Linked DNA regions of Saccharomyces cerevisiae S288C. The protein of the gene in region 3 binds, or shares a complex with, the protein of the main gene of each other region. Each region holds a gene or a part of one and is shown on either strand. Other genes may lie near its edges.

Region 1 (3,873 bases), 620 kb from region 3:
TAGAAGAAGAAACCAAGATAGTGTCTGCTGCAAGGCAACGAGAGCCTCCATTAAGGTGGAAGCTGTCTCAGGCCAGACAGTTTTTGAAAAGCAAAAACTGCTACACAATTTCGATGAGTTGCCAGAATGGCAAAAAGATAATGACAAAATTCTCACCGGGTACGTTCGTGAAACACTGTCATGGAAAAAGTGCTTATATTCTTTATTTTATTGGAACAACGAGACTGTGAACATTTATACACATTTGGTACCGGCTATCGTATACTTCGTGTTTGCCATTACGTTGACCAACTACTTTCTAATTCCCGTTTTCCCCTCCACTTCCTGGTCCGATTACACCGTTATAAACATTTTCTTGATGGGCGCTTTCTCATGTCTCATGTGCAGTAGCTGTTTCCACTGCATGAAGCAACACTCTGAAAAGCAAAGCAATTTCTGGAGCAAGCTCGACTACTTGGGGATTATCAGTTTGATTTCCTGTTCTATGATCCCTATAATATACTTTGGTTACTTCGACCACATATCCTACTTCAGTCTTTTCACGATTGTTACTTTAGTCCTGGCAACATTTTGTACAGTCTGTGTCCTCCACGACAAGTTTAACACTTCCACATTTCGTCCATTTAGGGCCATGTTTTTCATATTGTTTGGATTTAGTGGCTTACTCCCATTGACCACAGGGTTTTTCAAGTTCGGTATCCAAGGGGTTCTTAACAGAATAAAAGTCAGCTTTGTGTTTTGGGAAGCTCTCTTTTACATTTCAGGGGCTGTAATCTACGGGTTTAGGATTCCTGAAACTTTGGCTCCAGGGAAGTTCGATTTCTTCGGTAGCTCTCATCAAATATTTCATATTATGGTGGTTCTTGGTTCTGTATGCCACTTGAAAGCCATTATCGATTCTTACAAATTAATGCATTCTCATATCCACCCTTGATGGGCCTACAACTACTACAAAATCAAATAAATAACATTATATATCTAAGGTTAGAAAATAATTAAATGCAAAAAAAGTCTTTATTCCTTTTTAGATATTCGTCACATCATGCTTTTATCATAGATCGCATTTTGACAGGTACTTCGCTATATTAGCCTAATTAATTTTGGTCTTACTAAAGTGAGTAATGCCGAAAAATTAAACGTTTGAATAAGTGAACCTACTACAAAGGAAAGAGAGGAAGAGAAAAGGATAGGACTAAAAGACTTCCTTATATTTTTCGGTACGCTTGCGTTTCACTGAAGAGAATAAAAAGAACAAATTATATAAATTTAACACACTATGAGCACGAGAACAAAGGCCCTGAATGCATACAGGCATGGCTTAAGAGCAACCCGAATAGCTTTCCGGAATGATGCTGAAGTATTACTAGCCGCGAGAGCTAAAATGCGTTCAGGAATGTTATGTCCCCCAGATCCTAAACTCACCACAGAGGATCAGATTCAACATTTAGAGGATGTGGCTGTTTTTTTGAGACGAAACCTGGTTCAGGGCAAAAAGGTTGATGGCTCAAGTACTAAGGAGCCTAGGTACCATTTGAACATTCACAAAGACACCGAATTGGGTGACAATGAGACGATTGCAGACCCTACGGCAAGAGTGAAAACAAACTTAAAGGCAAGACCATTTAAATGCTCTGATAAAAAGCAATGATAATGCCTTGATTTTGTTTTATCTTCGAAGCTATATACATGTAAATACTTTTTTAGTACCTAGCAACTTTGCTAGGTGGCATATAAACTGATTTAGCACGATATATCGTTGCATTTGTTCTGTTTGTAGTATGTACATGTATACAGCTTGTTGTATTTGATGTGCTACTGAAACAGCGTAGTTGCTAGTGCTTTATCCCTTTTGACGGAAATGAACAAAGCTTTATAGCGGAATTAAACTTAACGAAACTGGAGAAAGCATAAAAGAGGAAAAGGGCAGCGGTAACTCATTAAATAATCTAGTTGGACGAGCCATAATAAGAGAAATAGACGGAGTAGAAAATGCGCTCCTCCATGTTTAGATGTGTGAGTCGCGCTCATTACAGCACAAGTGTCACAGAAGATTTCATAAATAGCATTCTAGCAAGGGCTCAAGAGGCAACAGCAAAAGCTTCCTCCAATGCTCTCAAATTGGACAAGATGAAGGAGGGTAGAATGCAAAATAAGAGGAGAAACGGGAATCAGAATAGGAATAGTATGAACAATAAAGAAAGCAGGGGTAGAGAGGGAAATCAAGGAGAAAGAAACATGAGACTGAAAAACCGTTCTAGTGATTCTGTTCGTGCTAACAAGCAGCAGTGGAATAAAGGTGCTAATACGTCTTTTGTAAAGAATCCTACTGGAAATACAGTAGTTATGCAGCCACAGTTCAAAAAGATGCAGAATGGCAAAAATAATTTGAAAGGAGATGCGAGAGTCGAAGATGATTTACTTGATGTCTTCAATTCGTCGATGGAGCAAAAACCTGTTAATTTCAATGGAACCCCCAAATCTAAAGCAAGGTTTCAAAAAAAGAGTCATATCTTAACAGCATCTAAAAGGAGAAAGGCTCCTCAACAGCAGCTACAGAAGGTTATCAAGAGACCTGTCAGTTCAGAATATGTACTAGAAGAGCCCACTCCTTTATCTTTGTTAGAATATACTCCTCAAGTTTTTCCAACAAAGGAATCCAGATTAGTCAACTTTACCTTAGATAGCTTGAAAAAATCCAATTACCCCATTTACAGATCGCCAAATTTGGGAATCCTCAAAGTACATGATTTCACCCTAAACACGCCAAACTTTGGTAAATATACACCAGGATCCTCCTTGATTTTTGCCAAAGAGCCTCAATTGCAGAATTTACTTATTGAAGAAGACCCAGAAGATTTTCATAGGCAAGTAACAGGAGAATATCAACTCTTAAAACCATATGTGAAAAAAGATTTTGAAAAACTGACGAAATCTAAAGATACTGTGAGTAAGCTCGTACAAAATAGTCAAGTTGTGAGGTTATCATTACAATCTGTTGTTATGGGCTCCGAGGAAAAGAAATTGGTATATGATGTTTGTTCTGGAATGAAACCAATTTCTGAATTACAACAGTAAATCAAACATCGTTATTTCATTCTTACATACCTGTAAATATCTAGTACGTATAAAATTTGAATTGTATGCCTGAACAGAAAAAGAATAGGTGGGCTCTTCTTATCCTTGACTATCAAAATTCCGGCTTAGTTCGTCAGAAATGGATATTTGATTTTTCAACAAACATTTCCGCAAATTAGATTCCTCCTTCTTTTCTTGATACTTAATAAGTACCTTTAAAAGCAATTCGGATATTGTTTGTACGGGAAATACGGAAGGTATAGTTTCGAGGATCTTTAATTGAATATCTGTATCATCTAAAAGTTCAAAATTTCTCTGTAGCAAATTAGTCACTAATTCAACTGAGTAATTCAAAGAAGATATGTCCAAGTATTGTTTCATCACCGCAACCAAGTTCTGCTTGCCTATGTATTTTTCTACACTTCTGAAATCATTAAATGACAAATATATTTTCAGCAATTCTTCGGAAGAAACCCAGTTTGTTAATTCATTGGGGAAAAATAACAAGGTCAATATGTGTTCTTTATCGATCTTGGAAATTTCGTCGAAGGTGAAATTAATAAACTCATCATCTTTTTCATTTTCCGATTTCAAGTTTTCACATTTTTCATAATATTTGGAAAAATTTTCGCACTGAAGACTATGCTTTAATTTGATATGAATAAAATTTGTTATATCTGTCTTATCATACGCGAAATCGTCTTTGTACTCTTTGATAAAATCTCCAAGAATGGACCATATGTTACTTTGGTTGATTATTTCTCGCAATTTCGCCAAATAATAGTTAAAGAGAAATTT
Region 2 (3,559 bases), on a different chromosome or scaffold from region 3:
TTGTTTTTATCATCTTGAGATGCAGTAGACGATATGCATTGTAAAGCAGTTTCTATATCAGATACCTGTAAGTTGTCCATAACGCAAGTTAATCCTTAGTATATCCTCAATAAATCCTTGATACTGATCTGTCAACGAGTATTTTCATGCCTTTTTCCTTCATTTATTTTTTTGTCAATATCCCTTATGTTCGAAAATTTTTTTCAATTATACCGAAAGCCTGAGCATCTAACAGAGAAATAGAAAATTGAAGTGAAATAACAATAATAGATGGTAAAGGTAAGAGATAATACTAAGGAAAGGAGATTAAGGAACACAGGAAGGATATAGAGCGAAAAACAAGAGGCTTGGAATGTCGAACAAAGTTAAAACCAAGGCCATGGTGCCACCAATAAATTGCATATTTAACTTCTTACAACAGCAAACACCAGTAACGATATGGTTATTCGAGCAAATCGGCATAAGAATCAAGGGTAAAATAGTTGGATTTGATGAGTTCATGAATGTTGTCATCGATGAAGCCGTGGAAATTCCTGTGAATAGTGCCGATGGTAAAGAAGATGTGGAGAAGGGCACGCCCTTGGGGAAGATCCTGTTGAAAGGCGATAATATCACATTGATAACATCAGCGGACTGAAAGAAAAAGGGGAACGAGAGAAATAGACAATTCGCAAGTGACGTATATACATGGGCATATTTATTCTCGATTTGATTTTTTTTTCTTCTTTTCTTTAGTTGTAATGCGTCTAAGGCACTTTCGAATACATGACATGTTGAAGTAGTATATATATTAGTTATTTACAAGTTGGTTGTATTATTATTATTACCATTATTTCCAGCTCCATTAGAGGTGGGGTTTAATTTGGAATCAATTTTATTGGAAATGTTTTTTAAATCCTTGTTCAGATATGAATCCACTAAAGAAATATCGAAAAACTTTTCGTTTGACAAAGAGCCCATTATTGCGTTGTTAATTTGGGTTTGTAGGGTGGTGTTACCTGAAAGTAATAATTTTCTATTTCCAAATTGCGTGAAGTTAGAAGTTACATCATAGGCATCAGTGAATTCCTCCGTTTCATCGTTAAAAACCTTATCAATTTTCTTTAGTAGTTGGGATTCTGTAACGATGAATTCATTAGCGACATGGTAGAGGTTTAATAATTCGTTTAGCTTTTTCTTGTGCGCCTGAAAGTTCAACAACGATCGATTGTAATTCCTTTTCAACTTCAACAATTCGCTCTCTTCTGGTGATCTGTTCCTTAAAAGAGGTTGAGACATCATTTTGTCTAGAGTCATAATAGTCAAGTCTGAAGATTTTTCCTTATTTAGTTTTTCTAGCTCCAGTTCTTTTGCTTTTTCCAGTTCCTTTGTCCTCTTCTGCAAATACTCGTGTTTGTGTAATAGCCTAGCCTCTTCCTTGCGAAATGCTTCAATCAAAAACTTTCTTCTTAATTCAGCTTTTTGTAATCTCACTTTCTGTGCTGAACCGTTACTGGATTTTATACTCTGGGGTTCAGCAACGGTCTTCGCAATGAGATTATCCACGTCGATAAAGTTTACCTTGGGTGATAATCTATGTGATCCTTTTGGATGTTTTACACCTTTGGCATACCCAATACCAAGAACACCCTTGGGCTTGGGTGATTTTACCTTATTAATAATATCAGTCTGCTTTGTAGTGGGGCTCTTCAGAATGGACCTTGTTGTGGGGAAAACCCCACTTTTAAAACCATACTTGGCCGCACCTTTCCCCATACTTCAATTATCCTTGTTATTATTGTTGTTGACAATCAGCAATGAAACTATTACCTAAATAATCCATATGTAGATTCTCTTCTTTATTCTACTCCTCTTGGGAATCACTTTCCTACTCGGCGACTTCAGGGTTCTACTTGCACTTCCGTTGCTAGTGATTTTTCATTAGGGCCAATATTTTTACCCTCATTACAAACCCTTTATTGTAAAAGCGGGTAAATTAGGGCCATGTTTCGTATTTTATAACCCGGCCGAGTGGCAAAATACCAAAAAGAAAGATGAAAAGGATAAACTAATAATTCAGCAGAAGGGTGATCAGTTGAGGTGGAGAGTTTGTATAGTAAAGCGTTAAATTTTTTCAGGAATACTCCCCCCACATAAACCTGATTGTAGAAAATAGAATTGAGTGAGCATGGCAGGTTTATCGTTCGACAATTATCAAAGAAATAATTTCTTAGCGGAAAACTCGCACACACAACCTAAGGCAACTTCCACGGGTACCACCATTGTAGGCGTAAAATTCAATAACGGAGTGGTGATTGCAGCAGATACAAGATCAACACAAGGTCCAATTGTCGCAGATAAGAATTGCGCAAAATTGCATAGAATTTCCCCCAAAATATGGTGTGCTGGTGCCGGTACCGCCGCCGATACTGAGGCAGTTACGCAGTTGATCGGGTCTAACATTGAATTACATTCCTTATATACCTCGAGAGAACCAAGAGTGGTCTCAGCTTTACAAATGCTAAAGCAGCACCTATTTAAGTACCAAGGTCATATTGGTGCTTATTTGATTGTTGCAGGTGTAGACCCTACGGGATCTCATTTGTTCTCCATTCATGCGCATGGTTCTACTGACGTGGGCTACTACCTTTCTCTAGGATCTGGTTCTCTAGCGGCAATGGCTGTGTTGGAATCACACTGGAAGCAAGACCTTACGAAGGAGGAAGCCATAAAGTTGGCCTCTGATGCAATCCAGGCTGGTATCTGGAATGATTTGGGGTCTGGTTCTAATGTGGATGTGTGTGTCATGGAAATAGGTAAAGATGCAGAATACTTGAGGAATTACTTGACTCCAAATGTTAGAGAAGAAAAGCAGAAAAGCTACAAATTCCCCAGGGGTACAACTGCTGTGCTGAAGGAGAGTATTGTCAATATTTGTGACATACAAGAAGAACAAGTCGATATAACGGCTTGAAAGTAAAACATAGAACTTAAGTATATTTTAGTATAGTAAATCATTGTTCAACAAAATGTGATAAAGGAAGTCAAAAACTAACCGCAAAACTATTTACATAATATATTTTCTTATAGCAGAGCTTATTATTTGTTCTTGATTCTTTTTCTTTTTTCTTTTTTTTATGCTTTGAAGTGTGTTAGTTGATTTTTGTTCGTTAATTTTCGTGTTAATTTATCCATCCATTTTAGCTATTTTATCACACAGAGCATAATATAACAAACACAGCTCAGTACCACACATATAACATAACACTAAAATTAACATTTCTATAGTCATCCGTTTGTTGGTCTTTAAAGGGCTATTACTGAGGCAAATATCAAGGAACTAAGAATACCACAAACGATACACTGATAATCAAGAAACGTATAAGGGAAAAGAGCACGATGGCAAGTGTCATGTCAAATAATAATAATAATAATAATAATAATAATGCCAGTTATATGTTTACGAACCCTTTGTCCAACACAGGTGGTGGACTCATAAATGAAATAAAAGATGCAATAAATGAAATGGAACAATTAAAGGTTCTAGAGTTAAAGCAAATATGCAAATCTCTGGATTTAT
Region 3 (3,896 bases):
TGCTTCTTTCTTTTCTTGGGTACGCGAATACGTTTGACATAAGCCTGGTCGATTTGTTTGTCTAAATCTTCTAAAATAGATGAGTATTCCTGCCATGCTAGTTGTCTTTCCACTAGTGGAATCAATTGGGCTTTCCTCTTTTGGTTTTTCTTGGTCACTTGTTTTAAAGTGCCTTGCAATTCTCTTAACTCTGCGCTTATTTCGTCGTCTTCTCTACCGGTGACCCAATCGGGGTCATCTGAGTTAGGGTTGTTCTCATCCTTAGGCAAATTCATGTATATCCCTACATACTTTAGTTCTCTTTTCAATCGTTCTTCGAATGTTGGATAGTCCAGGTTAATTCCATTTGTTATCCACCCAATTTGTTGGGGTAACGTACTTGTAGTACCGCCATTACTGCCTTTATTTTCTGCCAGTTTTGCTTGGAAAGATGCTTCCTCATCAATGTCATTGTCAGGTGTTTGAACACTGGGCCCGTTCTCCTGAGATAATGTCATGTCTACAGTATCATTGTTGTTGTTTCTAAACGATTGTATATCGTCTTCCCCTCCGGTTCTCGGTAGTCCGCCATCCCGTATTATTTTAGAAGATTGCAATTCTGATTTGTCATTGTCATCTTTTAATACAGCACTCAACAGCCTAGATAATAAGGGCCCACACGATATACTGCCCGATTCCAAAGCATTATCATCAAGTTCGTTGGCACTTTTTTTTGGTAGTATAGTAGATGCATCGTTTGAATATGGTGAAGGTTTTTTATAGGCAGAATTTTTGTCGTTTTCATCTTTGAACCAAACATCTGTGTATAAAGGGCCTAGTTTCGGTATAATAAACGGGTTTACCTCAGGGTCATAAGTTTTGTCAAATTGCAAGCTATCGGGTATAATATATTTCATCTTCAAAAACTTTAAGTTGTCATCACTAAGATCTTTGAAAAAATTTTCCACAAATGCTAGAAAGGTATTGAATTGAATTTGGTTGGTTGGTTTAGGATGCGAAAAGTCCATATCCGGTAATTCACCTGGTAACAGATCTTTCAAATCATTTGTTGGATAACTAGCTACATTGTATTTTTTTTTTAGGAAGTCTTCTCCTGTACTTTCTAGTCCCTCTTCATTGAATAAGCCGAGTGCTGCTGCTGCTCGAGGTAACGTTTGCGATACTACAAATTCTGATTTTGGATTTTTAACAGTTGGATCGTTTTCCATTTTGTCAACGTCAATTTTTTGCTTCTTATTGTCTGGCCTCTGTGTGTTTTCATTTTCAGTGGCCCTATTTTCAGTTTCAGAATCGAACGGCCTCTTTTCTCTGGGTTGATCTCTATGAACTTGTAAATCTTTGTCTTCATTAATTTCTTCTTTAGCCATATTATCAGCCGCTTGTTTGATGCTTTCTACATCGTTCTCAATTGTGCCGGAGATTTCATTAGAAGGAGGAGGTTTTGGTGGGCTTTGTACCCCTTTATCAATTATATTCGTTTCTTCAGTAGCAGTAGAACTTTCGTGCTGCCCGTCTGCATTTGAAGTTTCCTGCTTTTCATCGTTTGCTTGCTTCTCATTTTTACTGTCTCTTATTTTCCGAAGCGCTTCAATGGTCTCTTGATCACCTCGGGCAATTGTACCCAGTATTTCATTGAGACTATCCAATTGACTTTGCAATTCAAGTAAAGTTTTTTTATTGGGTATGGACCTAACACTTTTGCCATTGAGCATTCCAATATCACGCTCGAAGGTCAAATCTAAAGTTTTAAGCATTGACGATAAAAGCTTTGACGGAGTATTGTCGCCTCCCTCCTTTTTAGGAAGTTTCTCGCCTTTTGGCAGTTTTCCTCTTCTTCCATGTCTAGGCATATGTCCTGTCCAATACTTCTCGTCGCTCCGTCTTTGTTATGTTTTTCCAACTTCCTTATTGTAATCGCTACCACGAATATTTCATTTGATGGCGTTCATTTAATGACTGCCTGCCATTGTTTTGTTGTCGTCGGCGAACCTTTATCGCGTTGCACGTCGGAGCTCTTTAATGAGTTCCGCTAAGAAATTACGCTAAATGGGACCTTTTCTGTAACTGATTCTGAGTATATTTCGATCTGTGAACAAGGCAGTAGAGTTACCGAAACATTTGACACTACTAAAATACTATTCTTAGGAAGATGAAAGTACCATTGGGGTTATGGAAAGTCTCTCGGGGTAATTTGTGGAGCACCCAGAAAAGGGTTTTGACAATGTCTAGATGTTTGAACAGTGATGCTGGTAATGAAGCTAAAACTGTGAGAGAAGGACCAGCTTTTTCAGCAGATCTCTATATGCATCCCGAAAAATGGAAGGGTTTACCTCCTCAAAGAATTTTAGAGTTATATTGGGAGAGAATGGCTAGATTGGGTTCAGAGTATAAACCTAACAAAGACGAACTGAATGCCTTATTAACCACTTCTGAGTACTCAAATGTACCTGTTAACGATATTAAAAAGCTATATCACAGAGGAGAACAAGGCGCTATTGATATAAAAGGTGGAAACGTGAATCGCGATAACAGTCTTAGACCGTTTATGTTTGATGAATTGCCATCGCAAGCTCAGGAATTGGTTGCCCAACATCGTGAACAAAGGTTCTATAATCGATTAGCCGCATATGAGTTACCGCTATTAGCTCAATATCGCCAGGAATACAAGAGACCATCTCCAGAAAGTCATCCGGTCACTTATAGATACACTAGTTATGTTGGCGAAGAGCATCCCAATTCGAGGAAGGTTGTATTAAGCGTTAAAACCAAGGAATTGGGCCTGGAGGAAAAATCATTACATAAGTTCAGAATATTAGCCAGGTCGCGTTATGATCATACTACAGATATTTTTAAAATGTCTAGTGACAAATTTGAGCATGCATCACAAAATGCACGTTATTTGCATGATATTCTTCAAAGGCTGTTAGCGGAGTCAAAAGATTTGACGGAGGACGATTTTAGCGATGTTCCCCTTGACACAAGGCATACTATAGCTAAGAGTTTACGTAAAAAGAAGCGGGATTATGAGTTTCCTGAACACTGGAAACGCCCTGAAGATGCACCAAAGAAGAAATTTGATATTGTAGATCAATTATTGAGCACTCTTTAATACATGTTCAAAAACAAAAAGAACGGCCCCCCTGTATATATTATGTATTTGTTTTGCTTCCTTCTTTTTCTCTAAAATGTACATAGTTTTAGCACAATACAACATTGAGAGGTTTGAAAAGGTATAATCGCAAATTTAGAACTATATACATACATATACACAACGAAAATGAAAAGGAAGATATACTGTTACAAGAGGAGAGGGATAGATACATATATATATATATATATGTGCATACACTATGGGCAAAGCAAGCCCATGCTGCTATATTTTATTCCTTTTTTTATTATTATATTTATTTTAGAAAGACAGTAGAGTAATAGTAACGAGTTTGTCCGTCCATCAAATAGAAGAGTTGGATTTGTCCTTCTTCTTATCCTTCTTCTTCTTCTTCTTCTTCTTTTCCGAAGATCCATCATCATCGTGAGGTCTCTTTTCCACAGGAGGTTCAGCGGCGTGCTGTAAACTGAAAGGAATTGGAACCGGCGCATGAGTTGGACCGTTTTCCAAGGAAGCTGGTGGTAGGGTACCGTTTTTCTTTGCTTCTAAGTATTTGGATTTCTCTCTTTGGTAATTCTCCAACTCGACGTTGTAAGCCTGCTTCCATTTTTCTTTTTCGTTATCACTCAATTCCTTCCATTTCTTGGAGATTTCTTGAGTAATCTCAGTTGAGGATAAAGGTGGCAAGCCAGCCTTTTGTCTGTCTTCACGAAGTTCTTGACGAACGTACGCAGAGTAAGCAAAGAAAACAGTCAGTGGCTTCTTTGGAGCATTTGGATCACGTTCG

What was found.
Region 1: RSM24 (region 3) and RSM28 share a complex: the UniProt entries of both Saccharomyces cerevisiae proteins name them as parts of the mitochondrial small ribosomal subunit.
Region 2: RSM24 (region 3) and PET123 share a complex: the UniProt entries of both Saccharomyces cerevisiae proteins name them as parts of the mitochondrial small ribosomal subunit.

The regions. Positions count from the first base shown.
Region 1 is NC_001136.10:1,434,941-1,438,813, forward strand, and holds RSM28 (mitochondrial 37S ribosomal protein mS46 RSM28), read left to right. Parts: upstream 1-1,989; coding exon 1,990-3,075; downstream 3,076-3,873. Other genes in the region: IZH1 (PAQR-type receptor), read left to right, coding at 1-934; MZM1 (Mzm1p), read left to right, coding at 1,277-1,648; CORVET complex subunit VPS3, read right to left, coding at 3,175-3,873. UniProt on the Saccharomyces cerevisiae protein: Component of the mitochondrial ribosome (mitoribosome), a dedicated translation machinery responsible for the synthesis of mitochondrial genome-encoded proteins, including at least some of the essential transmembrane subunits of the mitochondrial respiratory chain.
Region 2 is NC_001147.6:630,360-633,918, reverse strand, and holds PET123 (mitochondrial 37S ribosomal protein mS26 PET123), read right to left. Parts: upstream 1,756-3,559; coding exon 799-1,755; downstream 1-798. Other genes in the region: mRNA transport regulator MTR10, read right to left, coding at 1-80; mRNA splicing protein SME1, read left to right, coding at 353-637; PUP1 (proteasome core particle subunit beta 2), read left to right, coding at 2,168-2,953; SUMO ligase NFI1, read left to right, coding at 3,379-3,559. UniProt on the Saccharomyces cerevisiae protein: Component of the mitochondrial ribosome (mitoribosome), a dedicated translation machinery responsible for the synthesis of mitochondrial genome-encoded proteins, including at least some of the essential transmembrane subunits of the mitochondrial respiratory chain.
Region 3 is NC_001136.10:812,406-816,301, reverse strand, and holds RSM24 (mitochondrial 37S ribosomal protein mS35 RSM24), read left to right. Parts: upstream 1-2,149; coding exon 2,150-3,109; downstream 3,110-3,896. Other genes in the region: histone acetyltransferase NGG1, read right to left, coding at 1-1,850; HMO1 (Hmo1p), read right to left, coding at 3,452-3,896. UniProt on the Saccharomyces cerevisiae protein: Component of the mitochondrial ribosome (mitoribosome), a dedicated translation machinery responsible for the synthesis of mitochondrial genome-encoded proteins, including at least some of the essential transmembrane subunits of the mitochondrial respiratory chain.